Linked DNA regions of Oreochromis niloticus. The main gene of each other region encodes a partner of the protein of the gene in region 3 in a complex. Links are inferred from orthologs where the notes say so. Each region holds a gene or a part of one and is shown on either strand. Other genes may lie near its edges. The genes, in order: bmp2b, gdf5 and rgmb.

Region 1 (9,969 bases), on a different chromosome or scaffold from region 3:
TCCACCATCTCATCCTAAATCTCCCTCCAGAGGCACAAAGACCTCAATTAGGCCCATCACTCCTTATTTGATGTGGGAAAGCCCCCTGTCTCTTGTTCCCCCTCCTCTGTCCCCAATCCCTCTCTTTCTTTCGTTCCTCAGCTCCCAAATCCCCCTTTCCCTCTGTTCTCTTAGCCCCAAATCCTCTTTTCTTTCTCTCTCCTCCTCTTTCACGTCTTCCTCAATTTCTTTCTACAACAATATTCTCACTCTCTCTCGTTTTCTGTTCTTTGAGGTTTGGCTATGTGAACAAGTCAGGGCCTGTCACAAACGTGTGAACCACAGATATGAGTGTATCAACATTCCTAATTTCTTTTTGTGCTGCATGCCAAAACATAAGATAAAGGCTAATGTTGGGTCATTCATCAGAGACGTGTCTCTGGCAGCCACTTCCTGTGTAGTAGTGGAAATGTTCTATTTGGCATGGGAAATGGTTATTTTTGAAAACTGATAGCAGTGAAACTAATTATCCTAGTGAAATGAATATCAGGCAGCAGATGTGATGAATGATTAGAGCAGTTTGCTTTGATGTGTTGCGTTTACATCTGTAGATACATGCTTATTATATGGAGCAGCCATCAATTGCGTGTCTCCTGACGTGGGAAGACGAACAGCCCAGCAGCTCTGTTAGCACGGGATGAAAGGGCTGGGGGGACGTATGTAAACACAGCCTGAGCGCATTCGTAATGGCCAGTGGTGTCAAGGTGTGTTGGCCGGTGGCAGAGGTTTCCAGTAGCTGGCTGGGGGCAGTCACTCAGCCCGGCTGCCCAGGCCAGGGTTGTTTGTAGTGTGTCGGTGTAGCCACTTGGTGTCATTGCACTAGGCCTCTGGAGAGCACCCAAGCAACCACTCAACCACCCCTCTGACTCACCCCTGATGGAAACTTCCCCAGTCAAACACTTAGAACTCTGTATGAGGACTCTGTGTAGAGCCCCTATGGACACAGTCACTTGTATGCTTTGACAAATGGAACATAGACCCTAAGATGGTGAATGGTGATAAAGCATCACTATATGTTTGACAGTAAACACTGCAGTGTTTCCTTTTTATCATGCGTGAGTCATTTTAATATCACAGCCAGGTGCAAAAGACAATATAGCCTCGGATCAATAGAATATAAGTAAACCATCATTTTTATTTTCTCAGCTGCTGTTTTTTTTTAAGTTATAAAAGTCCACTTTATTTGTAACACTGTGCGAACATCTGTGTAGTTGTTGAACTTAGTGCACCTTATCCAGGATGTATGAGGCTTTTAGTGCCAGTCTTATATATATGAGCAGCATATGTTATCTTTGAAGTGCAACGGAGTTGAACTGAAACATCAAATTCAACAAGCAGCACCGTATCCACCGTACAAACTAAGTGAGCAATTATAGTGTTATTGGAACATGCGTAATGGCGCACTGCACGGGCTCAACGGGGATTTGGAAAGACGAATAAGGCGGGTACCCCCCCCCCTTTTTTTTAACCAAAAACTAATTTCAGCCTTGTTAAAAATGACTCAGAATTCAGTCTGACACGATGACTTTGTCATAATGCGTGTTAGTATAATGTCATGTCGTGTGTTATTGAAGTAACAGGGTGATGACTATCACCTGCGCAAAGGCACACCGCCCTTTATCCTGCTCCTGTGGTGCGTGTCTGGAAAAACTGTTTTCGGAGCCCACGCAAACACCATCAATTATTAAGAAACAAATTACTCCAGGGATACCACCGCCTCTTGATGTTTTAAAGCCTCTGACAGCAGCCCCAGGGGGATGTTCGGTTAAATGTTGCATCACAACATTTGTGGGAGGTAATTAATTGCGTACGAGATGCTTGTTTGTAAGTCGCGTTACTGAGTTTTAGGCAATCCCGAGCGTTTTTAAAAGTAAGTTGTAACTTAGACGCGTGTCACCTGTAAATGACTAAACCTCTATAAAACAGCGAAGACTCTGAAGTTCAGTCTTGACGCACTGAGTCATGTTTAAATATAGGTTTGGGTTGTCTGAGAGAGCCGAGAAGCTTCCCGGCTGACAGGTAAAGGTATGTCACTAATACATACCTTCATGGTGAAAGCTTCTAATCGTGTTGGCCTTGCTGGCGGCTCTCTCTGCGTGTTTCCCCATGCTCTTGGGTCGTTTGGTGCTATGGTCTCCGTTTGCTGAATGCATACGGTAAAGGTCCACCATATACTGCGGCACCACGGCTTGCTTACTCGGGGTCGGCCTGCGCCCCAGTCCAAACACATTGAGAAGCCGAAGCTCAAAGTCGTTGAGGAAGCTCTCTGACTGCTCTGGGGTCTGCTTCCCGGATTCGCTGTATTTCCTCCGGCCGACCTCGGGGATAAGTCCCGTAGCACCTTCCAGCAACACCTGAGCGAGCAGCAGTACCATGAGAGAGCGGACCACGGCGACCATGATCAGTCAGTCCCTGTGGAGAAAGTTGGTTTCTGTCAATACACTGGCGCTGAGGTATTGACATGAGGTAGACGCGGCAGGGACCTCACTGCAGCATTCCCTAAACTGTGTGTGATCCCCCTACACAGTCGGAACGATTGAAGGAAATCAGGTTAAAAGGGAAGACAACGCTTCACTTTGAAGTGGGTAAAAAGAGAGAGAGAGAGCGAGAGAGCGAGACCCCCACCGGCAATATAGCGCGTCAAAGCTGAAAGAGAAGTTTGGTCTTAACATGAAGTGATACATGAAAATATCAAGGTGAGGAAGCTCTGAAAGAGAAGAACAAAAAAACGAGGGACTGACTCAGAAAAAACAATCAAAGGATTTGTGGATAGAGATCAGACAAAAAGTCTCCAATTAGAGGAGATAAGAAATCACGTTACGGGAGGTGGTATGAAAAAAAGAAATGCAAGTCTGTGTAGCCCGACAGATCACAAGAAGCATCAAAGAATACAGTGAAGGGAAACGGGTTAGTATGCACAGCAGCAACAGATGCAACCAGACGGTGTTACAAGCGTCTGTTTGCAGGGGCTTTGACGGTCGTGTGTAATCATAAGGGATAGAGTTACTTCAAGAGGCTCGCAGGTGTTAGATCTGACGTGCGTACCAGATGTAGCCCGGGACAGGACATAAAAAAACATGAAAAACCTAAGCATCATCTGAGCAGCACGACTTCCAAAGAAACAACCCTTTTCCCCTCTTCTTCTTTTCATAGTTTTCTCCGTGTGTAGGAGAACGCTTTAACTTTTACGCACACACCCTATAATCACATATAAACCAAGAACTAGCAGGGAGGGGGGGGGTCACTTAGAAAGTAAGCTTTTCCTCGTGTAGCAAGTTATTGTACAAACATTTCATTTTTTTTTATTTACGCCAATTAAGTACTTTAAGCGTTTATCAAAAAACCGTGAGTTTTTATTTTACCTGACGAGAAAGCGCTGTGTCCGGTCGTCGTTCCACCTTTGGGCTCCGATAAATTCCACATTAATTCGTGTTTAATCCACGTTGCTTCTCCTTGGGGGACCAAAGACAGCCCATAGCCTTCGCCGATCGCCTCTCACACATATTATCACCAGCTGCGAATCGGGTTAGGTCTTGGTCAGTCCCGAAAGGAAAAAAAATTATGTGAATTCTACGAGGAAACGGCTTCGCGTAGGCATAACCGATCTAAGTATAAAGAAGCTTCTCTGAACATCTTTACCAGCGAACAGTTATCTTCTGCTAAAACTGAACTTTTCCGCGAGAGAGAGAGAGAGAAACACGATAAGCGGACCTTAAAGTGTCGCTCTTTTGGACCTTCTTGCTGCGAGTTGGAGAGCGCGTCGCCTCTCTTCTGTGCGCCGCACTGGAGTGTTTGAATTGATTGTTGCCTTCTCTTCCCCCAGCGCTCTTTTTGTCGTAGTGATGTCACCAAGGGGATGTCAATCATTTGTCCACAATAAAGCACCTCCTGCGGACCTCTACCCCTGAGGCTCCAAACGTTTTCATGACTGAAAGGCTTGGACATGTAACTCTCCTTTTTTTCCCCTACCTACGCTCATTATACATCATTGAAATGAAAACGAAACAAGAGACAGAAGAAATAATAAAGTCAAGAGCAGTTAAAACCATGCTGTTGTTTTTCCAGATTGTTCTTTTTAAATGTTTTTTAGTAGCATCAAAATGGCTTTTGACAGTCCCTAGATGGTTTAATACTCATGTGAATTTGACCACCCCTGAGCAATAACATGTCAGCTCCTGCTGTTACATAGACACATTTTTGACCAGTGGTGTTAATGGCTGGATCAAAAATGTTTAGTTTTTGGATTAAGTCTAACAGATAATGGGTTTATAACTTGTTGCTTTAGTGGTTTCAGAGGATTAGATGCTGCAAAGTGACTGTCACATTCTCCTGCTGAACTTCACTTTGTGTGAATGTTTGTGCATGTGTGACTTGTACACGCGCTCCCCGCTGGCTGCATTAGGCTTTTTCATTTCTTTCCAGTTCGCAGCGCTTTATCAATATATCTGTGGCAGCTTTGGCTGCAAGAATTGCTGTCTTATTCTTCAGTACTGCAGACGAGCCAAGTGATAAAATCTTGTAAGAAAAATTCCCCAAGAAGGCAGTAATGTTTTCACTAAGTTTATAATTTAGAGTTCACACAAAATTGCATCTTAAAAAGGATGACCGGTTAAGCGAAGCATGTTAGCGCACCAGTTGATTTGGCTTTTCTAGGAAAAGTACTTGGTTCTTTTGTGTAGCCGTTGAAAGCACAGATGGGTGAGGGAAATTTTGCTGCTTTGTTTTTAGCCTGAGGGGTTGTAGTCAGTAGCATTGGTGTTTATGTGATCTCCATAAAAAAAACAGCCCCCACTGAGTTCCTCTGCTCTTATCCATTAGGTGATAATGGTGGCTGTGTTTGGGCCAAAGCATACTGACTTCTTCGCAAGATAGCGAGAGATTAAATCCCACAGCGATCACAAGATATTTGTCTTCCTTTAGGACAGTAATATTTTATCAGGGATAATCCTGGATCATCCACTTAGCAATTAAAACATGGTAAGGCCAATGAGTGTGTGCTGCTGTCTGAGTTACAGTGTTTCCTTTCCATTTCCTTGCTGCATCCAGGCACTTCAGAGTTTAACTTTTTTAAGGTGCTGAATCTAATTAGCTTCTTTGAAATCTACTTAGCTTATTTGGATCTTATTATTGTTTTGGTAATGTATTTATTCATCAGAATCAGCAAATGGTGACAGATTGTGATGCAGTCTTTTTCATGGACTTTAGTTCTACTACAGGTCATTTATTCATAAAGATTTTCTCCATTGTTATGTTAATCTGCTGGCAATTGAGTCTCTGTTGTTGCCAAAATACCACTTGGTAAACCTAGTGCTCTAAACCCAAATCCAGGTAAAAGCTGCATTCAGGCTGCTGTAGATTGCAGGATAAGTCCTCCCACAGCAAGCTGTGAGCATCTTTAATTACTCGAGTGACAGGATTAGAAACAGAGGGCCTTATCTGATTATTTGTCCGTCTTTTTCTTTTTGTAGGCATTTTTGTGGTTTCACTAAATGATCATGTCAACGTTTGTGTGTGTTTTGAAGGCATGGACATGCATAAATTGTGTGAGTGTGTTTCCTTTGGCTCAGCTTATGTCAGGCCAGTTCTGAGGAATGTGCCAAGCCAAGGCTGTTGAGGGACTTGATCAGTGATGCCCAGGGTGGTTTGAGAAGATCTTGTGGCTCTGACACTGTATATGTCATTGCTTATCATATCGCTGCTGATCCAATTACATGCTGATTGAAAGAACAACATCACAGAATGAAACCCTCATGGCCAGAGAGGGCGGGTAGAGATATGCTATCTCAAACTCAAATGAACGACCTACTGAGAGAGTCTCTGAGAGCCTTAAACTTTGACTTAGCCAGACACTATTAACTCAACAACCACCACTAATGGCATGCTTATTTCTTCTAACAAGTATCTGTTTATTTGTGATTGTAGTAAATATTCTTTCAAAGTTATGGAATCAAATTCAAGGTCAACATGTGCTCAAATGGCTCTCTGCTGTTTTAAAGACCTAAATGCACTGCTGTGCTGGTCCCGCTGCTTATAGTAAAAGGAAAAACAAGCCTGTGAGCTGTACAGAGTTTCCCACATGTATGTTTAGCTTCAGCCCCATGCTTTCATAATATATATGTTTTATTTCTTTAAAATACGTAAAATCTTGGAAAAGTCCCTCTCCAGACATTTATTAAAGTTTATTAAATAATATTATTTATTAAAAGAACTCACGTAGATTCACCACAATTAAATGTTCAGAAGCAGTTTTTTTTAAATGAATATAAACCCTTATGCAAAAAAGGGCTTTCCCTAATTTAATATGCATATCAATATTGGTCCATGCCTGCTCCCTCATCCTCTTTCCACTGGATCTGTGAGCTTCACTCATAAGTTCTCCTGCAAAATGAAGGAAAACATAGGTCCAGTTGTTAAGCAGTTGAGGAAAACCTGCTGCTTAAACTGTAAATCAGGAGGTCCAGAATAAAGAGAAGGTGCTGTTCAGCAGGTCAACAGTCAGAAAAAGTCAGAAAAAAAAATCAATTGACAGTTATTAGTTAATAGCAATCTTTTAGCTGTAAAATTAAACTAAATGAAACAGTCTCTCCTATATAGACGTTATGTATGTTGGACCTGATTACATTATCAAATCATATTCTGTTATTAAAGATAAGGTTGCCACTTCTATTAGTCCCCAGCCTGTAAGTTGGAGGGATTGGTTCCTAATGTGGGTGTTAGCACATCTGTGTCCATGAGGGTTGATTTGGGTCTAAGTGATGTACATTTTTGTGACTGTGGACTCATCTTTGGAAACTTTGTATTATGTAAACTGTAATTGCAAGGTGGACTTCAATGGGCTTCGCAGAAGTACAACAGCAATGACTACATGTCCACAGTGTCTCCAGCTGCCCATGTCCACAGCAGAGTAAAGTCGTCGCTTTAGGTTTGTTATGCATGAAACCTGGCTTTCTAAATCCATGCTTTAAAACCTGTCATTGCAACACTGCAGTCTTTGTCTCACTCTCTGGTGTGCCCTGGTGTGCCTTCTAGCATATAAAAACAATCACATTGGCATGTTAACAAGGTTAAAAAAGGTTTTTTAGAAATTAACATTTCTAGCGTCTGCAGGTACAAAGCAATTAAACACAATTTCAAGCTGACACAACCAAAATTTCCCTGATTTTTTTTTTTAAGTCTGCAATGACCTACAGGTAGGTCAAAAACAGTGCTGTGGAGCATCTGTCCATCCTCATAACAACAATTTAGCTATAGACTGTTGTTATCAGATTAAACTGGTGGTCTTGGAAATCCTTTTGTCCCAGTCGTGAGGACTAATATGACCAGTCTCTGATCCGACCCCTGAGGCCTTAAGTCTGTGCTTAGAATCAACACAACTGAAAATTCCCAGACTCACAAACACTGTCGCACAATCACCGCTTTGTTCCTGCTTTGTGACATCTTTTCGTTCTTTGAGTTAAGAGTTGTTTTTCCCAAAATTCTATATGAAAATTTACTGCCTTTCTTTGACAAACGGAAGGCAACATAAAGCTAAAATTCAGGTTAGACTGGAAAAAATAGCAGGTTCAGGTTTGCGTTATAAAACACTCAGACCCACACATGTACAAATGATACATTATGTAATCATTTAAAAGTCATATTTCTTATTGTTATGCTCCATTCATCATTCAGCTTTGGGGGGAAATCTTCTTTTCTAACCAAAAACATAATATACAGTAAACCACCACCATGTACTTTTGCTTCATCTAATAGATGTATCTTTTTTATGGAAACTCCCTTATGGCAGAACAATACATGGCACTTTTAAAGAAAGCATAATGAATGTATTGAAGGGGAAATGTTTGAGGTTATTTGAGAGAGATGAGGATAGTGGTGTTTTAACACATAGATCCTGTCAAAAAAATCAGAAGAAGACATGGCTTATTGTCCTCAGTACGGTGCTTTACATGCTCATTTGTTGTCCCATGGATGTGTCTGTCTGCACATGTTATGGTGGATGTGGACGGCGCAGCCTTCTCTTGTCATCACGCACATTCCACAAGTAAGGGGGCAGACAAAGCCCCGAGATGACACTGCAGATCTAACTATTAGCCTTTCACCTGCTGTTAACAGTAGCTTGGCTAGACACAGGGCCTGCATTCCTCTGCCTTGATGTAGCCAGATGTAGTTTTAACAGACTGTATGTGTGTCCCCAGGGAGATAATCTTCAGAGATGTTGTTTGAAACCAGGAAACAATTTGTTGTTGTGACTCATCCCTAATTCAACTGCAAGGCAGTGGCGTCTTTTTAATTTAGAAACCAGTAATATCTTCATCAGTCCACGTGTTTGACAGCAGAAGCACGACTGCTGCACTACGCTAAGCACGTGCACATGGTGCATGAAAGAGATTGTGGCAAAATGGGACACATTTCAAATAGGTTTGTCCCAAAATGGAAACCCACCAAGGTCAGAGACGGCCAGCTAGAAAGCCAGAGTCAATATTTATGGATACTGAACATGTGGCACGCTTCTCTACCCACTAATTTGAGCAACAAGTCCACCTCCAGATTATACGACCTCTCAGAGATCACAAGAGAGGGTCCAAACCTTGCTCGCATGGTTCAAATATTGAGAAGTACGCTGAGGTTGGTCGCACACAAGAAGCTGTGCGTAATTTAGCAAATTGGCAGAGTGTTTATTTGTTTGTGATTTAATTTCCTGTGTAAATAGGGTGCAAGGAAGTTTTGATCAGCGAATCGTGGTTGCTCCTTCATCCACAGAAGTTGTTGCTATTTTAGATATTATAATTATTGTATTGTGAAATCACTTTGGGCTGGCTTTTGTCAAAAAACAACAATAAAAAAAGACTTTTACACTCAAATCCTCCACCATAAGTCTAAAAAATAATGTATTTTGTTATTAGATGCATCTTTTGAATTTCATGCAGTGTCCTTTTTCGTGCCTGGTAAACTGCTGCTGTAAAATCAGTATCAGCAGTGTAAAACATTTAGCTCTGTACTGACCTCACACTGTGACAATTTACATTAAGAATCACATAAACATTTTAAATACATTTAGCTAGTTAACTAGTTGGTATAGCTGCACTGCAGCTACTTTGATTTTAAAGAGAGAGGCAGAAAGACATAAATACAGGGATCTGCCCTTTGAATGCAGCTCCACTCATAAAGACACCACGCGTCACTCAATTATATGTCTGCATGATTAGAAGCTTGGGCTACGTAAACAGCCAGCGTCAAGATTTACATTTTACCGCTTAAGCACAAGCAGCTGTTTACAGGCCAAAGAAGGAAGGAACACTTAGTATCCATACATGATGAGGAATAAGGAACATGCATCTTCAGCAGATGATGCTTTCAAGATGCTTTCAATTAAAGGTTGTTTATGTAGATCTAATGGAATATTTGGTTGGAATATTAAATTGCTTTTTAATCTCTCAGCTCTGCTGCTTCTGGGTTTTAAACATGTAAGTCTTTGCAAGCATCCATCTGAGTAACACTGCTTTTAAACCCCATCTAAAATGATGCTTGTTTCTGTGGAACTATATGGGCAAACACACATAGTGGAGTACCATGACCTTTAGAAGAGAACACATACTGACAATATATTTAATCAGGTTCTGTTGGTGATGAAATACCAAGACTCATGCATAGGTTCATATATACAGTATGAAACAGTCTTAAGTCACTTATTCTTTTATAATTTGCTTCCAAGGAGACTTTCTTGTCATTTTTAAAAGTGAGAATAGTTCTCAAGGCTTTCTGAAACTTTTTCTTTGGAGATTTTCTAATTTTCTTTCCAGTCCTTGTGCCTGAACACTTTCAGAGAAACACATGACCTGTGAATCATTCAACAAAAGCGGCTAAGTCAAGAGGGGGGAGGGGGTGGGCATTGTTGTATCTACACATAATAGAAAACTTAGCAAAGAAACAATT
Region 2 (10,405 bases), on a different chromosome or scaffold from region 3:
AAAAAAAGACTCTAAAATTCAAATGTTTTGTGATCTGTAAATTAAAAACTCGACATTTCAGGCTGATCATCACTCATTAAATTATGAAAGTAATATAACTACTAATAAACCTACTTTTGCCCAGAGAATGGCGTGTCGCTCACTCGCACACATGGCTTCAGCTTTTTTAACATATTGGCACCGGCCCAGGTGAAGAGGATTTCCCACTCTGGGGGAAAATGTCCAAATCTCTCCTAATCCCAGGCTGGTCACCAGAGCTGAGACAGAGAGATGGACTATTTAACTATTTGCACCAACTAACCTAACCCCAGTAACTACACTTTGGGCAGTGGGAGGAAGCGGAGTGAACCCATAGAGACACAGTGACGACATGCAAACTCCACACAGCTGTGAGACAACACTGCTAACTACTGTTCCTGCATGCAGTGGTTATTTACTGCACTGCTGTACTATCAAATTGCCAAAAATTGGAAAACAAACATTTGATCCACAACCTCACACAGGTAAACAAATGAGTGGGTTAATAAGGGGAAAAATTACTTCAAAAAATGTAATGATCAAAATCACTGCCAGATCAACTTTTAGTCGACTAATCAGGGTTTTAGCTGCTCTGCTTCACACACACACACACACACACACACACACAGCATCATCGGGGGCCCAGAGCAAGACATTGCTCTGGGGCCCCTCAGGAGGTAGGTTCAGCCTTGCATGTGGCAGGAAGAAAGAAAGAAGGAGCGGCAGCAGTAACGGAGGAATAAAGGCAGAATAAAGGAAGAGAGTAAGAGTGAATGAAAGGATAGAAGGTAAATAACGATCAGTTCCTCGTCTCAGCATGTGGACGAAGTCAGCAACGACTCGCTGAACAAATAAAGGCCACATTAAAAGTACATTAAGTGGTGGAAATGTAAACCTTCAGCAGCAGCAGGAACATGAAACTGCGCTCATTTAAAGACGCTTCTAAAACTGTTTTACATCGTAAAGACAACATGACACGGGGGGCTGTGAGCACTGTTTATTTACCCTCACGAGGCCGTATATATCACTGAGAGCCGACCAGATGTTAGAAACACACGGCAGCACACACACACACACAGACTCACAACTGCAAAGGAATAAATATACATAAATATGTGCATATATGTGCACAGACATGTTCCAGACGTTAAAACTGCTGAAAGTTTGACATCAAACACTAATTATTCCTCTGCTACACTACCTGCTGTCACAAGACTAAATTAGTTATTGGTCTTTAGAAAAATGCTTATTAGAATGCATTTCTAATTTCATACATGTAAAGTCGCTCTCTTGATCCCCACTGTTTGGTTTTCTCCCACCAAACCTTAAAGTACCAGATATAGACAAACATAGCTGCCATCACAGCTGTAACCCCCTCCTGCCTGGTTACAGTAAAGCCCATAAGCCCCGCCCACTTTATATTTGCGGAGGTGACCTGAGCCAAACTGAAGCCAATCTGAGAGAGCCATTTCACTTCCTGTCGATCCCAAACTGGCTGAAACTCAAGTGTGCAGTGGAGGGTGCTCGTGAGAAAGTCCTCAATGAACAGGAGTGAAAGGAGCTAAATAATTATTTCCAGCTGTTTGTAGAAAAAAAGCCCAAGTTTTATTTTAGTTTTCACAAATCCAGCATCGATGATGTGTGCAGCCTAAATTAAATCTACACTCGTGTCCTTTAGGTTTTTTTATGCAGCACTTTAATACAACTGAAAACGAAACATATCTATTGGCTCAGCCGGTTCTGTCAAAAAAATCCCAGAAGAGCACCTCCATGAATCTGGAAGTCCAGAGAGTGGGATCTATTTAATTTTTTTAAAAAAAAGGTGTATGTGCAAAGATTAAAAGCTGTAATTTGTTTTGATGGAAGTAGTCGTGATACACCTGCAGGCCTCTGTTCATGCAAATCAAACACGTTCACATCTCTGTGTTTAAAAGTAGTTTAAAACAAAATGAAATGAAGGCATCATCTCTGTTTGTGCTAAAGCGATATCAACTTATGTCTAACTCAAGCCAAGCTGTCTTTCTCCTGTAATACAAGTTTGTACCACAAGGTGGTTAAATGAGTCAGTGTCAGCTTTTACATAAACATACATACATAAAGGAAGTCATAAAGGAAAATAGAATAGTGCTTCTGATTGGCTACAATTCTCAAAAAACGGATTAAACAGCAGGTGGGTGTGGCTTCTGTGATGGGAGGACCATATAAGGATATCTACTCTTACTGACATCACACATATCCAAATCTAGAAAAAAAAAATCTAAAACTGAGAGTTTAGAGCAGCCTTAGCTTTTGGATGACTGAAATCACTATTTAAAACATCACGTGACTGCTGGAAGAGGAGATATACTAATAGCAGAAAATTATGTCCACTCGAACTTCTCGGCTAATCACATCCTGTTAGCTCTGGATGGAGCTGTTTCTTTAAGCTAAGCTAACTGGCTGTCAGAAAGGGAATCTGACCCCCAGTTTGTTGAACGCTCCTTCCCATAGTACTCCACTCACTGCTGACCTTCTGATTTTAACGGGACAATCCTCAGCCTGTGCCCTCAGCACCACCCTCCTCTGGTGCCCCCCACACTGGCCTCCAGTCCCTTAAAGCAGCTCTCATTCTGTGGGACCTGAGGCTCCAGTGGCATCCTTTTTATACTCCCCCTTTTTTAATTGTTAATGAATTGTGGGTGTGAGGTCTGAACTTGCTGTGGGTTCTAAAGTGAGACTTTAAAAGCAGCTAACAGCCCCTATCCTCTGCTCATCCTCTGGCTCCTCAGATCTCCTCTAACCTTCTGCTCCAGCTGCTTTTTAATCCCCACAGAGTACCAGGGGCACAAATGCATCATCAAGTACCTGTCCTGCTGCCCCCACAGCGTGGACCCCCACCCACCCATCACAGCTCAGCTGGGTGTGTGTCTGCCACCATCCCTGCACTAACAGCGTGTCACTGTCACTCTGTTTCGTGGGACTGAAAAGTAACGTGGGAGCACTCCCCGGGACGCACAGAGGCTCGTGGGTGATGCGGTTACCTTGCCCTTTATCCACGAAGCTCGTGATGGTGTTGGCCAGGCCGGCCTCGTGCAACGTGCTGCCGTTGACGTCACCGCTGGAGAGAGACCAGTACAGCGCGAGCATGTAGTCGTGCGGCGTCACGAGCGGCTGTTTGTGGCTCGCGGCCCCCCGCTGCGCCGCCGGAGCCGGCGCGCTGCGGGCTCTCTGCGGGGACGAGGTGCGCACCGCCGCGGCCGCAACTTTTCCCAAACTTCTCCCCGATGAACCTCCACCTCCTCCACCCGCTCGTGCGTGTGCGTTAATGGCAGCGGGAGCGTGCGCCTTATCGTACGCATCCCCGCCGGGCAGTCGGGAGCGCACGGGCTCCGTGCGCCCTGAGCTGATCGTCCTGGACGCCTCTCCTCTGATTACCGGAGGACCTGCGCGGACACGCGCCGTGGGGCCGGGATGCAGGTGAACCAGAGTCCAGCAGCTGAGCAGCAGAGACAGACGCGTCACGGCTTTCATCCTAAAGCGCGTTCGCCTCCCGCCAGGCTGTCATCGTAGCGAAGTGCAGTGAGATCACAAGGAAGCTGAAGCGGCAAAGAACAGTAAATCCGAGTGGGTCATCCTCACGAGAAATGCACGAAAGCTGCTGCCCCCGCCTGAAACTCGGCACAGACACGTGCCAGGCGGTGAAAGCAGAGACTGTAACGGACGTCTACAAGCCGAAGAAACAAATCCCGCACAGCTTTATTGTCCCACGCGGCATGTGTGAGGAGCATAGTGCTGGAGAGATGTGCCCGGCACAGCAGAACGCAAAGCCCGGGCTGAGAGGCGCAGAAACACTCCGCGGAACTGTTCTGTTGGAAGTCTTGTAAGAAACTTCTTTAAATCCCCCTTTTTTTTTCTCTCAGAGGGAAGAATGGCGTAATGCCGCAGCCCTCCCTCCCTCTCTCTCTCTCTCTCCAGAGTTTGAACTCCGTCCAGTGAAAATATTTCACTCACACACCAACCTGCAGGTGCTCGAAAAACTCCTCCAGCGAACCTGAGCGCAGGAATTGGAAACGGAATTCCAGAAAACTGGTTTAATTACCGCGTGATGTCATGCTGCCCAAACTCATTTAACAGCGATATTTCTCCTCAAATCTTCCTCCCTCTTTTCCACCAATGACTCACTGAAGCTGCAACACGGAAAGGACCCCCCCCCCCCCACACACACACACACACACACACTCACACTCAGGAGGGTAAAGAAAAAGTTTACATCACTGAAACGAGCCAAAAAGCGCAGAAATGAAAATCTCCACTCATCGGATTGATCTGTGTTGTGTTTTTCAGCAGTACAGATTATGAGGCGCACTTTTGTGCTTTGTGTCTCTTTGTTCTCATTAACACATATTTATATCGCTCAGCAGCATCTCTGGATGATTCCATGCTTCACAGTTTCTATAAAGGTAAAAAAAATCCAAACTCCAATCTTCTAAACTGAAATAGGTGACATCATTGTTGGGACATCCACCTTTCATGTTTTCAGCACTGTGAGCTGCCATTCTGTCCCACTGCATACTCTGGTATAGATGCAAAACACGAAACACTTGCTTCTCATACGTAAACCTACTTTAAAAAGCCTTTATTCTCTCTTCCAGCAGCCACAGTACACCTGAGTGGACACCGCACTGTCACTACTGTCATCTGTCAGCATCTCACACTTGTTTAGAAGCCATCAAAGAAGAGTGAGACACGGGATGAAGAGCAATGACATCAAATTTATTTAAACGAACATGAACAAAAACCACGAGCACTGAGGCTGTGCGCTGGTGGAGTCATGTGGAAGAAGAGCTTCAGAAGTCTGGGACCAGGTGACTCCACGGTCTGCTCCATCCACCATCACCCCCTGCACTGTGGAAATAGACCACACAAACAAACTATACAAGCAAGCAAACCATCACAAAAACTTGTAACGGTGTCACCTATCCCAGCATGCCCTGCACCATCACAGCAACCAGCGGAAGGAGTTTACGGGTAGAGAAAAGAGACCACATGTCTGTCACCATGTCGTCAGCCGGCCTTCGTGACTGTAATTCATTTACTGTAATTATCATCTCCGTGTTTTGTTAGAAACTTTCCCCACCAGGAGGCAGCGTTTTCACAGACTGCTGGAATATCTTCAGACTTCTAACTCAAGTTCAGCTCATATCTTCTCACAACATGATATAAATGTTATTTATTCTCCTTCTTTTCATAGCAGACGGTAACTTTGGAAAGTTTAAAGCTATTATAAGTACAGAAATTTAAAACAAGTTCCTTTAACATAACAGATGTCCAGGCTGTGTGGCTGGAAAACCACTGATGGGACAGTGGATGGGATTAACCCGTGCCGAGGACGTTGCTGAGACACCACAATGTCCACTTCCACTGTGCCGAGCTTTGTGGCTGTCATGTTTACCAGAATGGGCCTTTTTGTCACTCCTGGGAATTTTGGCATACTGACTAGTGTGATCTTTCCTGGAATAATTAATAGCATACTGGTATTTGAACTCCCTGCTAATGTCAGAAATGCCTTTCTGTTGTGTCCCCTGGTGTGCAGCGCTGTAGCTTATATGTATATTAGTTTATTCTTGTTACTAGGGATGCACCGATCCCGATACTGGTATCGGGTATCGGTGCCGATACTGTAAAATGTGTGCGTACTCGTACTCGTAAAAGTCAACCGATACCATGAACCGATACTAATGTAGCCCGGATGGGAATTTGGTAGTAGATACTCATAATTCCCATGGACTTGAACGCCACATAAGGTGTTCACAGTTCACAGAAGAGAACGGCATGGAGAGATGCACGAGGTTAGCTGAACCAAAGTGAGAGACTCGGCTAGTTTTACTGAGGTTAACTTGCACAAAAGAGTGTGTGACTAGAAAGCTAACTGTGTGAGAGCTTCGCAACAGAGTGTGGGTGAAGTGACTTTTTGTTTCAACGGTCGCACCACCGTCCGTGGAAAACTGTGTTTTCAGCCATGACCGCTGAGGCTAAAGGCTAGCCCGGACTGCTTGGCTGCGCCACGGAGGCAGCTGCTATGGACTGTCGGAGAGCTGGACAGTGACTGGCTAACGCGCTGTAGCAGAGACAGCATCGGGTCCGCAGGGAGTGGATTTAGTGTGGGACTGGTGAACGGCGACCTACCGAGCAACGGAACTGTAAGTCAGACTTTTGTGCTCTTACTGGGGAGAAGAGGATTTTTCTCCATCGTCCGGCGTGAGCAGCAAACAGGCCTGCAACAAGTGTGAATGTGAGTGTGTGTGGGGCCCATGTGTGAATATTGTATGTTTAGTGGATTTATATACCGTGTTTTGGAGTGTATATTAGTGAGTCACTTACCAAAAGGTGATAACATAAGTTGGGTTGTTTAATATAATTTGAAAGGGAATTATTTCATTTATACAGTGTATTTCATTTGGTTAAGGAATTGGAATATCATTTGAGTTTAAAAAAGGGATGTGTTGTACAGTATTTGTCTCTGCCCTTACGTTCAGTAAACGTTTCGTTTGTGTTAAAGAGTTGTGTGGGGTCGTTTCTTTACTACCGGTTAAGTTTAACTTGTGTGTGGCAGAAGTATCGGTTTTTGTACTCGGTATCGGCAAGTACTCAGATCCAAGTATCGGTATCGGATCGGTTTGAAAAAATTGGTATCGTTGCATCCCTACTTGTTACTGTACCTAAATCTTAAGAATTGGCCTCAGGTGATTTCATATGACCTGCAGGCTGCAAATGTTTTGCCTGAATATTAATGAATATGTAGTTTTTGGCCACAGTTAGTACCTGTCGTGTTTTTAGCTTGACTGGTGTTGTGGGTATTTGTTTTTCTGTTTTACTGTTTGCCTCTTGCACACTGTTAAACTCACTTTGTGTATTTTTTCTCGTAGTCTACGCAGCCATCAATGACTGTACTGCATTAGAGTTTTAATGTATTACATCTATTTAATTTTAGTATATTATCCTGTTTAAATTACAGTTAACACACTTGTGGGTCTCATATTTGACTGATTATAAAACCTCGAGTTTTCACACATCCATGTTTACAGTGTTTTGGTCTCCTTCTCTTCCCGGGAGACGAGGCGGTCGGTTCTGATTCTAACACTGTTTGCCAGTTTAATTTATGATGCCACGAGCAGCTCCAGCTCGGTGCCATAACTTTAGTTTTGACCAAACTCGAGGAATAATTAGCAGCCAGGGTTCAACCCCGGAGCTCCCGGCAGTGGAGCTGGTCTCTGGTGGTTTGTAACTGGAGCTGGTTCTGGTTCTGGTGCTGTGTTTGTCTTTCCCTCTCTTTATTCTCTCTGACCTCAGCTGCTTTTCTGCCCACCTGAGGCCATGACAGAAGGACAGGAGTGATCGGATGATACTGTTGGGATCGGCTCGACTGGATGTGACCGGTAACAGATTGCGCTGTTGCACATTCACACCTGACTCCAGGTGACAGTGCCTTAAAACCACATCACAACTGAACGTCATTAATTACTGACCAGTGTGTTTTCACGGCGCACAGTGGAGCACATGAGGCGACTGATTTGGTGCTAAGTGAATAAAATTGAAGTGAATGGAATGAATATTACAACAGTGTGTGAAAGTGCTACAGTAATGGTTTTCTGTGTGACTTTATGGGTCGTTCATGTCATTGTGGTAAAATTTTGGCTCACTCTTCTTCACAGTTCATTGAGGTTTGTGTGGATTCATTTATGCACATCTCACAGCACTTCGGTCGGGTTGAGGTCTGACTTTGACCTGACCGTTGCAGCAGCTTCCTGTCAGAGATTTGCTTCTGCGCTCTGGATCATCGTCCTGTTGTTGACCCAGTTTGGTCTGAGCTTTAGTTGCCAGACAGACGACCTCACATTTGACTCTAGAATACTTTGGTTTACAGAGGAGTTCACGGTCGACTCGATAACTGCAAGCTGCCCACGTCCTATGGCTGCAAAATGAGCCTGCATCCCCAGCCCTCCGCCGCTGAGCTGACAGTTGGTATGAGGTGTTTGTGCTGATATGCTGTGTTTTGGTTTGTCCGACTGTGCTGCTGTCCACGATGGGCAAACACCACCACTTTGTTCTCTCCTGTCCACAAGACATCGTTCCAGACGTCTTGCGGTTCGTTCGGATGCAGCCAAACTTGCTCTTTATAGAAAGAAGAGGCCACAGGGCTTCCAAACAAGCCACACTTATTCAGTCTTTATCTAATTGTGCTCTTACAAAGTTTAACATGCTAACTGAAGCCTGTAGAGTCTGAGATGGAGCGTTTGTGGTTGTTTGTAGCTTCCTTGAGCGTTGCACAGTCTGGCTGAGACGTCCACTTCGTTAACACAAGCTTGAGTGCTGCAGACCGGAAAACTGCCAAAACTTCTGCTTTGATTGGGGTGCTCACACTCAGTGATGATCAGTTAATCAAGTGCATTTGATTAGCAGCGCCTGGCTGTTAGTTGAATCCCAGTGGAAGCAGTAAAAGTGGACTTCACTCATGCGTCTGCATTTCTGATATGTAAACCGTAGAAATGAACGGGGTGTACTTTCTTTTACCAGGACTCTACGTGTGCACGTCTACAGCTCTCTCACTCGCTGAGAGGAATTCCTGCACTAATCAAAATGTAGCACCGTGTTTCCACCTTTCATTTTGGCTCATTTCATATTATGTTTTTGTGAAGTTTTAACTTTCGTGTGTTACTTTAAAGTCTTCCTTGTTTCTTGTAATGCACTTTCAGGAAGGCGTTCCGCTGTTATTGAATGTGTTACAGAAATAAACCCGATGGACACTGCGGGGGTGTGAACACTTTTTATAGCCTGTGTATATTTGAGGGCACTTCCTGTATCGGAGGAATCGTGGGTGTGCGTTTGAGCGTGAAATGTAAACTGATCCCCGGACCTCGGATTCCTGCTCTGGACCCACCGGTCTCACTCCAGAAAACGTTGAGCGCAGCAGATTGGGACACAGTTTGGAGAAAATGTGGTTTTCCTTTGGCAGGTCTGGCTCGTGTGGCATGCAGGACGCGGGGAACATTTCATTCTGAAAGATAAGTTGTTGACATTTCTGAGTCTGAGACATGCAACGAGGATCCCAGGCCAGAGCCAAAACCAAGGACATCAAGTGCACATGGAGTCTGATTCGAGCCAACTGACAAACAACCGTTTCCAGTACGCCTGAGCTGCTCCGAGGCGAAGAGCTGCCTCGCTGCTTTTTATTCTGGCGAATGTCAAAGACACAGCGAGGGATTTATCCTGACGCTCATATCAACAGTCTGTCATAAGTCATGATTTTATAACAAACTGCAAGCGTTTGGAGTCGGTGAGCATCACACCCTGGGACTCCATCAGCTCCAGACCAACAGGCCAAAGGATGGGACCGCTCCAACTGTCAGTAAATATGTCAACGTGTTCCTGAAGTCCTCGCTCAGGTCGCCTTCACATTATTTCACAGTTCCTGTAATTATCATTCTGGTTCTCTGCAGGATCCTTCAGATCATCTACAAAAGTTGGGTGAAGCTCCACCTGTGGTAAAGGGTTGAATGGTTACACCCCTTCACAGCCTTTTTGACTCAACTCGGTCTTTTCCAGTATTCGGCACCGCACACATCCATGTGAAATTTTCTGGGCTAAAATTCACATTTCGGATCTGTTTAAAACTACAGCCAAAAGAATTTCACACAACTCCAAGTGTCACAGTCTGAGGCCAAGATCTGTTTTTGTTCAGCACGACTTTCTCCATAACCAGCTGCATCGTGGGACACGTTTAATGTCTGTGACGCGAAGGAGCAGAAACAAGCATCGATACTCCGGATGTTTGATCTTTTTTCTGATCATTCCGTGGAAAAAACTTCAAAAAGTGCATTCTGGGTAAACTTTCAAGGCTCACGTTACCAAAACAGGTTACAGCGCACGAAGAGGCTCCTGTTACATCATACCCTGCGGTTTTAATTAGCTGCACTGCTGTTGCGGCTGCAGTAATATCGCCGATCTGGCAAAGAAAAATCCTTTTTTATCTTTGATGGAGTGAAAAAAGCTGCCATGCAGATTTCAGGAAAAATGAATTGAAACATGTAAAAGTTTCACTCAGTGTTTTCTTCAACAGCTTGTGTGTCAGAAAAGTTTCATCACATGAACACAAATATTTTAGGGCTTCATTATATAAGCAAACGATCAGCTGTTTCCAAGAAGGTCAGGCGGGAACGGATGTGACTGATTTTACATGAATAGATGCTCAAGCAACAATCGGGAGCTTCTTAACCAGGCAGGGATGCTGTGGGCTAGAGGTCAAAGGGTCACTAAGGTCACTACATCCTCTGCACCTTCCTATATCCAGCTGACAGGTTTCTCAGCCAATCGGAGCTCCTGACCAGGAGATATCTGAGCATTGAAAATT
Region 3 (9,916 bases):
TGAATTTATACATGCAAGTACTTTATACATGCAAGTTTCATCATTCTAATGCTGCAATGTGACGTATGTGTTTCAAGATAAAGTGCACAGCAACACCCTGCAGGTAAAGCACACGGTTACTTTGGTTTATGAGACTGCACTTTACCAATTTCTAAAACAGCTTAAAAAATAGGCGATAATACATTTATAATATACAGCTGTATTTGTGTGTGTGCTGAAAACATGAGATTCTCACTATAAACTGTTGAGATTTAGTTTAATTTTACATTGATGGCTTTAAAAAATGCACAAGTGTGGGAGTAATTTGATATTGTGCCTTTGATGCGTTTGCAACAACGCGAGCTGTCAAGACTTACACACTCTGGCACACTCACACATGCACACACAGGTGTGTTATGGTGAGTGGTGTGAGCTGTTGAATGATAGGCTGTTTGCAGTAGAGAGGTTTAGGGGAGGTAGAGGTGGAGGTGGAGAAAGACAGAAGTGGAGATGGGAGGCAGAGGTGTGGAGGTGAAGACAAGCTGGAAGTTTGGAAACAGATGGCCTTTGTATGTAACACATGCATTCATGCACGTGTGTGTGAATGCATGTGTTACTGGACAAAGTGTGCGTGTGTGTTTGGAGGGGGGTGAGTTAATTTCGGTGTGCTCTGATCTCTGGTCTCAGCTGTGGTGTAATTGATTAAATGAATTAGTACAGAATATAGAATTAATGTTCATGAATAGGATCATGTGTTTTGTGTGTCTGTGTGTGTGTGTGTGTGTGCGTGTGTGTGTGTGTATGTGAGGACCAAAAATTGGTATGCTACTATACTAGTGGGGACCAAATCCTGCTCCTCATTAATTTAAAGGCAATTTTGAGGTTCAAAATGTGATTTGAAGTATTATATCGAGTCCATTTCTGCAAGATTTGAAAATCTTGTGTGTGTGTGTGTGTGTGTGTGTGTGTGTGTGTGTGTGTGTGTGTGCGTATGGCAGATGGGTCATTAGAATGAAATATGAAATTAGTCTTGATGAAAAGCACCAGATATGCGCACGTGTAATTGAATTAACCAGTCTGTGCTCCGTGTGTCAGCATAAATGAAATGTTCACCTTGCGTGCTTCATCCTGCTGAGAGGTGCATCACAGACAGACTGGCCAGTCAGGAGGCTGTTCTACTGTCAAAAACACTGCTTGCTTAATTTCTGTCATAATAGGTATCCAGGATGTACAGCTGGGTGGGAAATTAGAGTTAAATAACATTATGGGTCTTAGCAGGATGTTGGACCAGTAGGAGCCCTAAAACAGCTTTAGCCAGGCTCTGCTGGCAGGATGAACACCAGTCTTCCAAAAGAATTCACCTCATTTGATGTTTTGATGGTAACAAGGAGCGCTGTCTAATGTACCAATGTATATATGGGCTATAGATGTTTTTTAGTTTTAAAATAATTTTCAAGGAATTATTTATTTATATATTATAGCCAGCAATTTAACAGCTAACTTAAATAAATCTAAATCTAATGTGTTATATTATGTGAGTCATTTTTATTCTTGAAAGTAACTATTTAGGATTTGTACAGTGGTGTGCAGTGGTTAGGGCAGTTGCCTCACAGTAAGAAGGTCCTTGGTTCAAATCTGCAGGCTGGGGTCCGTCTTTAGGAAGTTTGCATGTTCTTCCAATGCCCGAGTGGATTCTCCCTGAATACTCTAGCTTCTGATAAAAGATGTATGTTTGCTTAACTAGTGTTTCTCCGTTAGCCCTGTGACAGACTGTGACGTCACGCTATGACACTTTTGATGAGGCCAACTGCAACCCTGAAACAGATAAGCAGAAGAAAGTGGGTGGATGGTGGAAAAGTGTTGTTTGTTTCTGAAGTATAGTGGAGTAGAGGTATAAAATAGCATCACAATAGCAATACTTGAATTACCATAAAGTACCTTAAAACACTACCACTAATAAATGTCAATGTCAGTAATCATGAAACCATGTGATAACACCTCCTGCTCAAAAGTCTCTGTTTGACACTGCTATATCACAGGGATCTTGTGGTAATGCTAAAGTTCACTGCTGATCTGCGTCCACTTGTCCCCTAAGAGGTAAGGTTCGATACAAATCAAATACAAATCGATACTTATCTTATGATGTAATATGTCTCTCCTGGTAAGAGTGGTCTCTTTCATAGTGACAATGACCCCATCCACCAGACATGAGGGGGGTCACTAAACGATTTGATGATGATGAAAATCAAGCCAATTAAATGCTGTTTATGTATTGCACTCATCACATCTCATTCGAAATGAGCACCTATGGGATATTTTAGACTAGCACTCTCAACCACCATCATCAAAAAATCAAATGAGAAAATATCATTTGGAAGTTTAGAGACTGAGAAATGTATGACTTCTGGGCTCAACTCCAAGGTGAATTCAAGCTTTTCTTCTTACACTTTACATTGTTTTTTCCTCTTTAATTTTTTCTTCAAATATGCATGCACATACTACACATACATGCATATGCGTTTGTGTAGTATGCCAAAATTAGTTAAAAAGTATGAACATACACATACTGCAAAACAATATGTTACAAGATCTCCTGAGTCATCACAGACGGCCTTCCTCAGCAGCAGCATGCACGTTATAAAAATCAGACACACATTATCTGCCCTGACCACACTCACTGTAAAATCTTCATCACTTACGTGTTTAGTTTAGAGACGCATTCAGAGTGGCCGTGACTGAATCCGAGTCATGCTGCAGCTGCTCTGACACACAGCACATAAAGTAGCCACAGAGCAGTGTTATTTGATGAATGCTTGCTTATGCTCACATCCATATAAACAGGTTACAGCCAGGGTTGTAGAGTTTGGCAGAACGTAATAGATAATGGAAGATTACAGCAGTAAGCCCTGCACGTACGGACAGAGAAAAAACAGGGTAGATTTGCAGACTTAGTAAAAAATTATCTAACTGTAGATGCTTCGGTGCTTGCTTTGAAATTTACCCAACTGTAAACTTTACGTGAAAAAGCAGGCTTGGCTCAGTTTCAATTTTTTTTCTTTTTTGTTGCTATTAAAGATCTTAAATCCACAACCTTCAGAAAGTTATTCATTCATGAATTACAGCTGGAACAATAAAGATAGCAAGGTACAAGTTACTTTGCATATATTTAGTGGCTGTCATTATCTCTGGGAGGCTGTTTACACTCCCTCCTGAACTTTCGGCAGTTTTGTTCTTTTTACTTTACAGCATTATGATGGTTTCGGTGTGAACATGTCTGGACGGTGTGTTACAGACATCATCTCGACATTGTGTTTAGTTCTGTGTCTGTCAACATATTTTTTATTTTTGCCAATACAGTCAGGAAGGATACAAACCTATTAAATGAAATTTAATGTATGCTACATGTTTTTCCATTCAGTTTGTTTAATTCCTAGGAAGCACAAAATAAAAACTCAAGCATGGACTAAGCCACTGTGTCAGTGAATACAGACTGAATAACAGCACACAAAATATCCAACTAATTTCACAGATTAATTAATTATTAATTACAATACTGTGCAAAGGTCTCGAGTCTTTAGTTTTTGTGTAATTTGGCATACCTCAGCCTTTTTCCCTCTGTTTCCCTTTCTTAAGAATAGCTTCTTGACAGCCACCCTTCCACCGAAACCATTTCTGATGAGACTTAAGCAAACAGTAGATGGATGGAGTGCAGGGTCAGACGCATCTGTCAGGTCCTGTATCAGGTCTTTGCTGGATTTGTTCCTATTTCTTAAGGACATGACTTTAGATACTTTTCGTCTGCTGAAGATAGTTATTAAGGTCTTTCGCTTGTGCAGTTTCATTAAAATATCCCCAAATTTAAGGACACACAGCACATCATGTCAACTAAAGAAATTAAAACAAATGCTGTGTTTTTGAAACAGACTGCTAGTTACCAAGTGTCTAAAGTTACAGTTTAAGTGTAGACACAACACTGGTGTTGGATACCAGTTTATGCTTGAATGATTCATAGGTCAGTGTTAAGTTGCTTAACAAACAAACAAACAAATGATCAAGTATAAGGACTAGAGTGAAAATGAGTGAAAAAGCAGCTAATGTCCAAAACAAATAAAAACTGTGAAGGATCTGTAGAATGCCTGGAGAAGCATTGCTCAAGAGCTCTTTATAAAAAATCACAAGAAAGCAAAATATGAAGAAAGACTTTTGCACAACACTGTATATCCCTGAGTTTAATAAGTGGATTTATATGATTTATGATTTCTATCATAGCCATGGGGAACACATGGAGTAGGCTGGATATGCCTTATGAGTTTAAGAGGTATCCTTTTGGAGTATTTCGAGTGTAATATGGTTAATTTTTAAACATTTATTTGATGTGGGATTTGAGACACAACAGATATACAAAATAAAAGATTCTTTAAGATTTCTGACACATCTTTAAAGGATGTCTGGCCTTTTTTCCTCCTAGGGAACTCGTTTGCACTCACCTGTATTTGTACAAACTGTAGAAGTACTAAGAATGATAGGAATCCTATCAGTACTAAAATAGAAAATATGATTTTATTGTTACTCTCGAGAGGCTTGGGTAGTGGGCAATATTCTTTTATTCCTCTCTAACAAACGGAGTCTTGATTATGTCACATCATATCTTAAAATATGATTTATTTACTTGTTAATGAATGCCATTATAATTACACCTTGTAAAATCCGTTAACATTTCCACAGCTATTACATAGCCTCCCTTCTCACATAACCGAATACTTACATTTTATGTTTCTTTCGGTTTCTTGCAAATGCGGAGAGTGAAAGGAAACTGCTGCAAGGAAGGAAAAGGTTAAAAGTCAAGCAAACTGCTTTGACGTTGTTTTCTTGACGTCACTAATTGTTTGCTTATTTTTGCAACTTGTTTGCATTAGTATTTCTATTTCTTTTACATTTTAAACGTGAGTCAAGATTTTTTTTCTTAATACGATTTTTGTTCATGGTCAAATGTTCGACGTCCTTTTTGTATTATGTTCTAATGTTCTTGCTGATCGTGCTCATAGTTAATTAAATAAATCAATAAGCTCATGATTACTTTAGTTTATACAGTGCTGCTTTACCTAGACTTCACAACTTTTATCAAATTTGTATTTATTTATTTTTGTCCCATTTGATTGACTCTCTCTCTCTCTCTCTATCAGTGTGGTATAGGCGGGTTTTCCGCCAGCAGGGTTTGGTTGATTCTCTATTGATTTGCTGGGGTGGGAGAGGAGGAGGAGGAGAAAGTGAAATGGGAGGAGAGCAGGAGAAACCTCCGCCTGGCCAGTGAGGGAGGGAGGGATATGATTGTGCGTGTTTGGGACGAGAGAGGAGAGTGATCGTAATCAAGGCAAAAGTCCGGCTTGCAGCGGGAGCGCACTCCAATCACGTGGGGTTTGGATTTTTATAGGAGAGAAAAAAGTAAAAGTGTCGACGAAGTGACTTCTGGTTGTACTTTGTATTGTTTTTTTCCTCTCTGTGCCTTTCCACCTCCCCCTCCGCCCTGCATTCCGTGGAGCAGCTGTGTTTTAATGCCCCTGCGCACCCGAGGAGGAGAGGAAGGAGAGAAGAGTGAAGAAGAAGAGGCAGAAGAAGTAGTGAGAAGGCCTGGACACCACCCGTCCTCGTCCTCTGGAGGTCTGTCCACTCTCCCCTCCTGGCCCTGCATGGACGGGGATGGGGAGAGCCGGATGCTGTTGCCGCGGGGCTGAGCGCCTCACCTCCCCGTCTATGGTGCGCCGCTTCCGGCCGCTTCTACTGCTGATCATCGCGCTGTGCTGCGGTGCTCACATAGGTAACTAATCACACTTGCAACACTGCAACACCCAGAATCTCTTTGGGTCACAGTAGCAACTGAGCTGTAATTTATCTACTTTCACATTCAGTGATGAACTAATTACTGCTGACTCCATCAGCTATAACCATAGTAACAACATTTCTTTTCAGTCGCTATCACTTGATGGTGATTGAAACACTTTGTTAGTTATTAAGCGTCTGTAATCACTGTGTGGTTGATCCTTGTGTTGGGCCCAGTGCTGCCTGACAATGGCTCTCTCTAAAGCGGCAGTGCAGCAGTCTGAGCACGGATCGAGTTTCTCCTCTCTCCTGGGCCGTCATTCTCCTGTCTGCCTCTTAATGGCTCATGGAGGAGGGGGAGAGAAGGCAGGAGAGAGCTACCTCTCCTCTTGTCCATATAAACCAATTCTTTTAGTGCGCTCATTTACAGAAAAAAAAGCAAACAAACAAAACAAAACAATCTATTCCACCGCTGCACATCATAAAATATAAAAAGAAGTTGTGCTGTGATTTAAATCTGGCCAAACCTAAATAAACAGTTAATGTTGAGCTGATGCTGATTAATAACGTCTATTGTAAGAAACGGGATCAGATAATCGAATTTAAGAACATATTCTTGAATGTCCGACATATTTCTCTTTATATTTGTGGATGTTTATCTTTTAAAACCCCTACAATGATCCAAGGCTTGTTAGAAACCCCCCCCAAAACAAACAATGAATTTAATAAATGAAGAGCCTGCTAACTGGATGTTAACAAGGTGTCTGCAAAGATTTCTGACACTAAAATCAAATGTGACAGTTTTGACATACTTCTGTTTTCTGTGGCTTTGCAGAGGTCTTACTTCTTTTTTGTGACACTGTTTGCTGGTCATTTTCTGTCTTGTAAAGATGCAGAAGCATTTTACATTTGGTGCAAAAAGGCAGCAAAAAAAAAAAAAAAAAATCAAATCTGGCTGAGTCTGAGTGTTTTTGTCTGTGCAGGGGGTCGGCTGTCTGTAGAGCAATCACACCTCCAGTAATTAGTTTAACACAGCGCAGGCAGTCGGACAAAACGGGAACACAGAGAGAGACCCACTTCACATTAAAGACCCTCTTGGCACCTATGCTGCACGTGCGTCACCTGGAAAGAATGTGTGTGGTTTTTTTTTGTTCTTTTTTTAGTTTGTCGAGCCAAACAGAATGTTTTATTTGTTAAAACTTGTACATGTTTTGGGGTATGTAGATATATTTCTTTGTTGTCAGCCCCATGTGTCTGTTTAGGCAGGGAGGAAGGAGTGTCTGAATTGTTGACTATTGTTCACAGTGTCTGGCCGACGACGAGAGAGAGTGCACGCTGGAGTGAGCTCCTGTAAAGCTTTGCAGCTTAAAGCTATAGAAAGGGTGTTTGTGTGATTTGAGCTCGGCTTGTGAGAGAGTGCACACAACAAGGTGATCAATAAGCACTTCTGGAGCTATTCCCTTGGTTGAGAAATGATCCCAGTAGATCCTTTCCTGATCTCCAGAGATCAAAGGAGTTGAAGGCAGCGAGATTGGGAGGCAAAAAAAAAAAAAAAATGCTAAACCGAGCCATTGAGATTCAGCTGGTTGATCTTATGACCTCTGTCTGATGGTAGAGAAGGTGCCTCAGGAAGAGAGGCAGTAAGGAGGTGAGGCTGGCCAGGGAATGAGGCTGAGGGGGCTGAAAGCAGAATAGTGCTGAAGGAGGCGAGTGATTGAAGCTACAAAGGAAAAAAAAAGAGAGAAAACTGAAGATATGAGAGAGAAGAAGATTCGAGTCCTGTGGGATTATATTGAATGCGAGGAAGACAGAGGATAAGGAGCTATGTTGAAGGCAATTTTAAACACACGAGGAGTTGTGTATTCTCCTCTTAATAGTATCTGCCAGCCACCGGAGTATTCATCACCTCGACTTTACTTGACAAAAAATATGCTAATTTAGAAAGACTGTTTACAAAGGAGATCACATGGATGTTTTAGGTAGCAAATAAGAAAATTGTGCTTTAGTATGTAATGTGTAAATATTACAAACGTTATTAAGCAAATCGTAGTTTTTATTTCAGAGAGGTCAGAGTGCAGGGTCAGCATGGGAGCGACACAGTGGTGTAAACTTCAACAGAAGCTTTCCGTCAGTAAGGTTTTGCAAGTCGATGCTTTAATGCCAGATCCCTGCAGTCAGAGGGTCAGCTTGCTTCTCGCTAAGTTATCCTTCTGAGAAAATATTAGTGAATAAGTGCTTTTAGTGCAGCAGCTCATGATCCCGATAACTTCTGAAAGAGAACAAACTGCTCTGATTAGATTGGGAGTCGCATTTGGGTACTGCAGGCTAGATTGGAGGGAAAGAAGGAGGCTGTTGGTGCACCAGTCAAAGACACAATGTGTCCTCAGTGCTCAGACCTGTCTGTGCAGCGGTGGTTGGCATAGGAGGCAGCCTATGTGTGTGCGTGTGTGTCTGTGGGTTGGTGTCAGTATTTAACAGTTAGGAGAAAGATTCTAAAGCGCGGTGTGAGTGAGGGTCCGTACCTGCACCCCAAATGGCAAAATTCAGAGCATTACTGCCCCCATTTGGTGGCATCACACTCCTTCATGCTCTAAAATCAGATAAATCGACAGAGAATAGCGGACGTGTGCTGCCAGCTGGTTAAGTGATGGAGTAACGTTTGAGTGATCGTTTCTGTAAAAACTCGTGCACTTTCGGCCTTTTCTTGGCCATTAAGAGACCATCATCTAAAGATCACCGACTTTGTGTGGTTAACGGAAGTACAAGCAGCATTCTTTCTAAGATAGCTATTGCTGTGTGTGTGTGTGTGTGTGTGTGTGTGTGTGTGTGTGTGTGTGTGTGTGTGCAGCTGCTCATACACTGCAGAGCCTCTCTCTCTCTGGCCTAATCTAATTGGAGCACGTTGTGACTGATGCATTAGGTCTGGTCTCTAATCTCTTTCTCGCTCTATCTTTCTCTCTCTCTCGCTCCGATGATCTATGATATAAAAGGCGACTTTGACCCTCGTTACATTTAGAAACGCAGAAATAGATAAAACATCAGGGAAATCTGTTTCTGATGGCTACACGAGGTGCATTTTTGATTATGTTTTTCCTCTGCAGAAGCCACCCAGGATCACTAACACAATTATTCAGCACCTTGCTGACGAAGATTATTAGCTTCAAAAAGTCACTGTGTTGTGTTTGTATTCACAGCACAGCTGCTTTGCCCTGCTCTCTTTGTCTATAATGTTCTATATGCTGTGTGCTCCTTGGCTGTATGGGCACTTTTATCTCACTGCTTGTGGTAAAACATGCTTCGTCTTCCCTCTCTCCGGTTGCTCTTTGGTTTATTACACTTCAGGTTTATTACGCTCACAGAGCGGCACTGATGATTGATCCAGACTTTCAATCAACAGCTGGTTCTTTTTCTAGTTTTATTAGGTTTTTATTAGACTGTAAAAGACTCATATCATTGCGTGCTTAAAATCAAAGCTTTCTTCACACGTAACCTTGGTAGTCTTGTGCGATTGCACAACCTTTTCACTTCTACTGAGACATGACTCTGTCTAGTTCACGCCTAAATTATCAGACGTGTGTATTATATATCAGTATTCCAGACTCTATTTGTGTGTCCTCTTCAGGTCAGTGCCAGGTGGCCACACCTCAGTGTCGTATCCAGAAGTGCACCACCGACTTTGTCTCCCTGACCTCCCACCTGAACCCTGCGGTGGATGGCTTTCACACTGAATTTTGCAAGGCTTTGCGTGCGTACTCGGCCTGCACTCAGAGGACAGCAAAGGCCTGCCGTGGAAACCTGGTCTTCCACTCGGCCGTTCTGGGCATCTCAGACCTAATGAGCCAGAGAAACTGCTCCAGAGACGGCCCCACTTCTCCCACACACCCCGAGATTCCCTTTGAGCCGTGCAACTATCACAGCCGCACTCAGCATGCCCACACGCAGTCCCATGCACACGCTCACTCACACTCGCACACTCACAGCCACAGCCACGGCCACTCTCGGGCTGGGTACCTGTTTTGTGGGCTCTTCGGTGACCCCCACCTGAGGACATTCAAGGACAGCTTCCAGACTTGTAAAGTGGAGGGAGCATGGCCTCTTATTGATAACGACTACCTTTCAG

Evidence for each region.
Region 1: the proteins of rgmb (region 3) and bmp2b are in contact, whole or in part, in a crystal structure (PDB 4UI2), measured with the Homo sapiens proteins. The link is inferred for Oreochromis niloticus from reciprocal best matches to the Homo sapiens genes RGMB and BMP2. Residues at the interface, in NP_001353437.1 of Homo sapiens: Lys97, Arg100, Gly101, Leu103, His106, Ser107, Leu110; in NP_001191.1 of Homo sapiens: Val308, Gly309, Trp310, Trp313, Met371, Tyr373, Leu374, Asp375, Glu376, Tyr385, Met388.
Region 2: the proteins of rgmb (region 3) and gdf5 are in contact, whole or in part, in a crystal structure (PDB 6Z3J), measured with the Homo sapiens proteins. The link is inferred for Oreochromis niloticus from reciprocal best matches to the Homo sapiens genes RGMB and GDF5. Residues at the interface, in NP_001353437.1 of Homo sapiens: Gln57, Thr60, Phe63, Val64, Thr67, Ser68, Leu70, Asn71, Tyr88, Leu103, Val104, Ser107, Ala108, Leu110, Gly111, Ile112, Asp114, Leu115, Gln118; in NP_000548.2 of Homo sapiens: Leu396, Arg399, Phe435, Pro436, Leu437, Arg438, Ser439, Asn445, Val448, Ile449, Leu452, Ser455, Met456.

Annotation. Positions count from the first base shown.
Region 1 is NC_031980.2:4,167,340-4,177,308, forward strand, and holds the start of bmp2b (bone morphogenetic protein 2b), read right to left. Parts: upstream 3,956-9,969; 5' UTR 3,751-3,955; exon of another isoform or gene 3,402-3,750; intron 2,452-3,401; 5' UTR 2,439-2,451; coding exon 2,084-2,438; intron 1-2,083. UniProt on the Homo sapiens protein: Growth factor of the TGF-beta superfamily that plays essential roles in many developmental processes, including cardiogenesis, neurogenesis, and osteogenesis. Induces cartilage and bone formation.
Region 2 is NC_031970.2:3,000,631-3,011,035, reverse strand, and holds the start of gdf5 (growth/differentiation factor 5), read right to left. Parts: upstream 4,182-10,405; 5' UTR 3,529-4,181; coding exon 3,039-3,528; intron 1-3,038. UniProt on the Homo sapiens protein: Growth factor involved in bone and cartilage formation. During cartilage development regulates differentiation of chondrogenic tissue through two pathways.
Region 3 is NC_031977.2:17,429,308-17,439,223, reverse strand, and holds the start of rgmb (repulsive guidance molecule B), read left to right. Parts: upstream 1-5,251; 5' UTR 5,252-5,676; coding exon 5,677-5,794; intron 5,795-9,418; coding exon 9,419-9,916. UniProt on the Homo sapiens protein: Member of the repulsive guidance molecule (RGM) family that contributes to the patterning of the developing nervous system. Acts as a bone morphogenetic protein (BMP) coreceptor that potentiates BMP signaling. Promotes neuronal adhesion.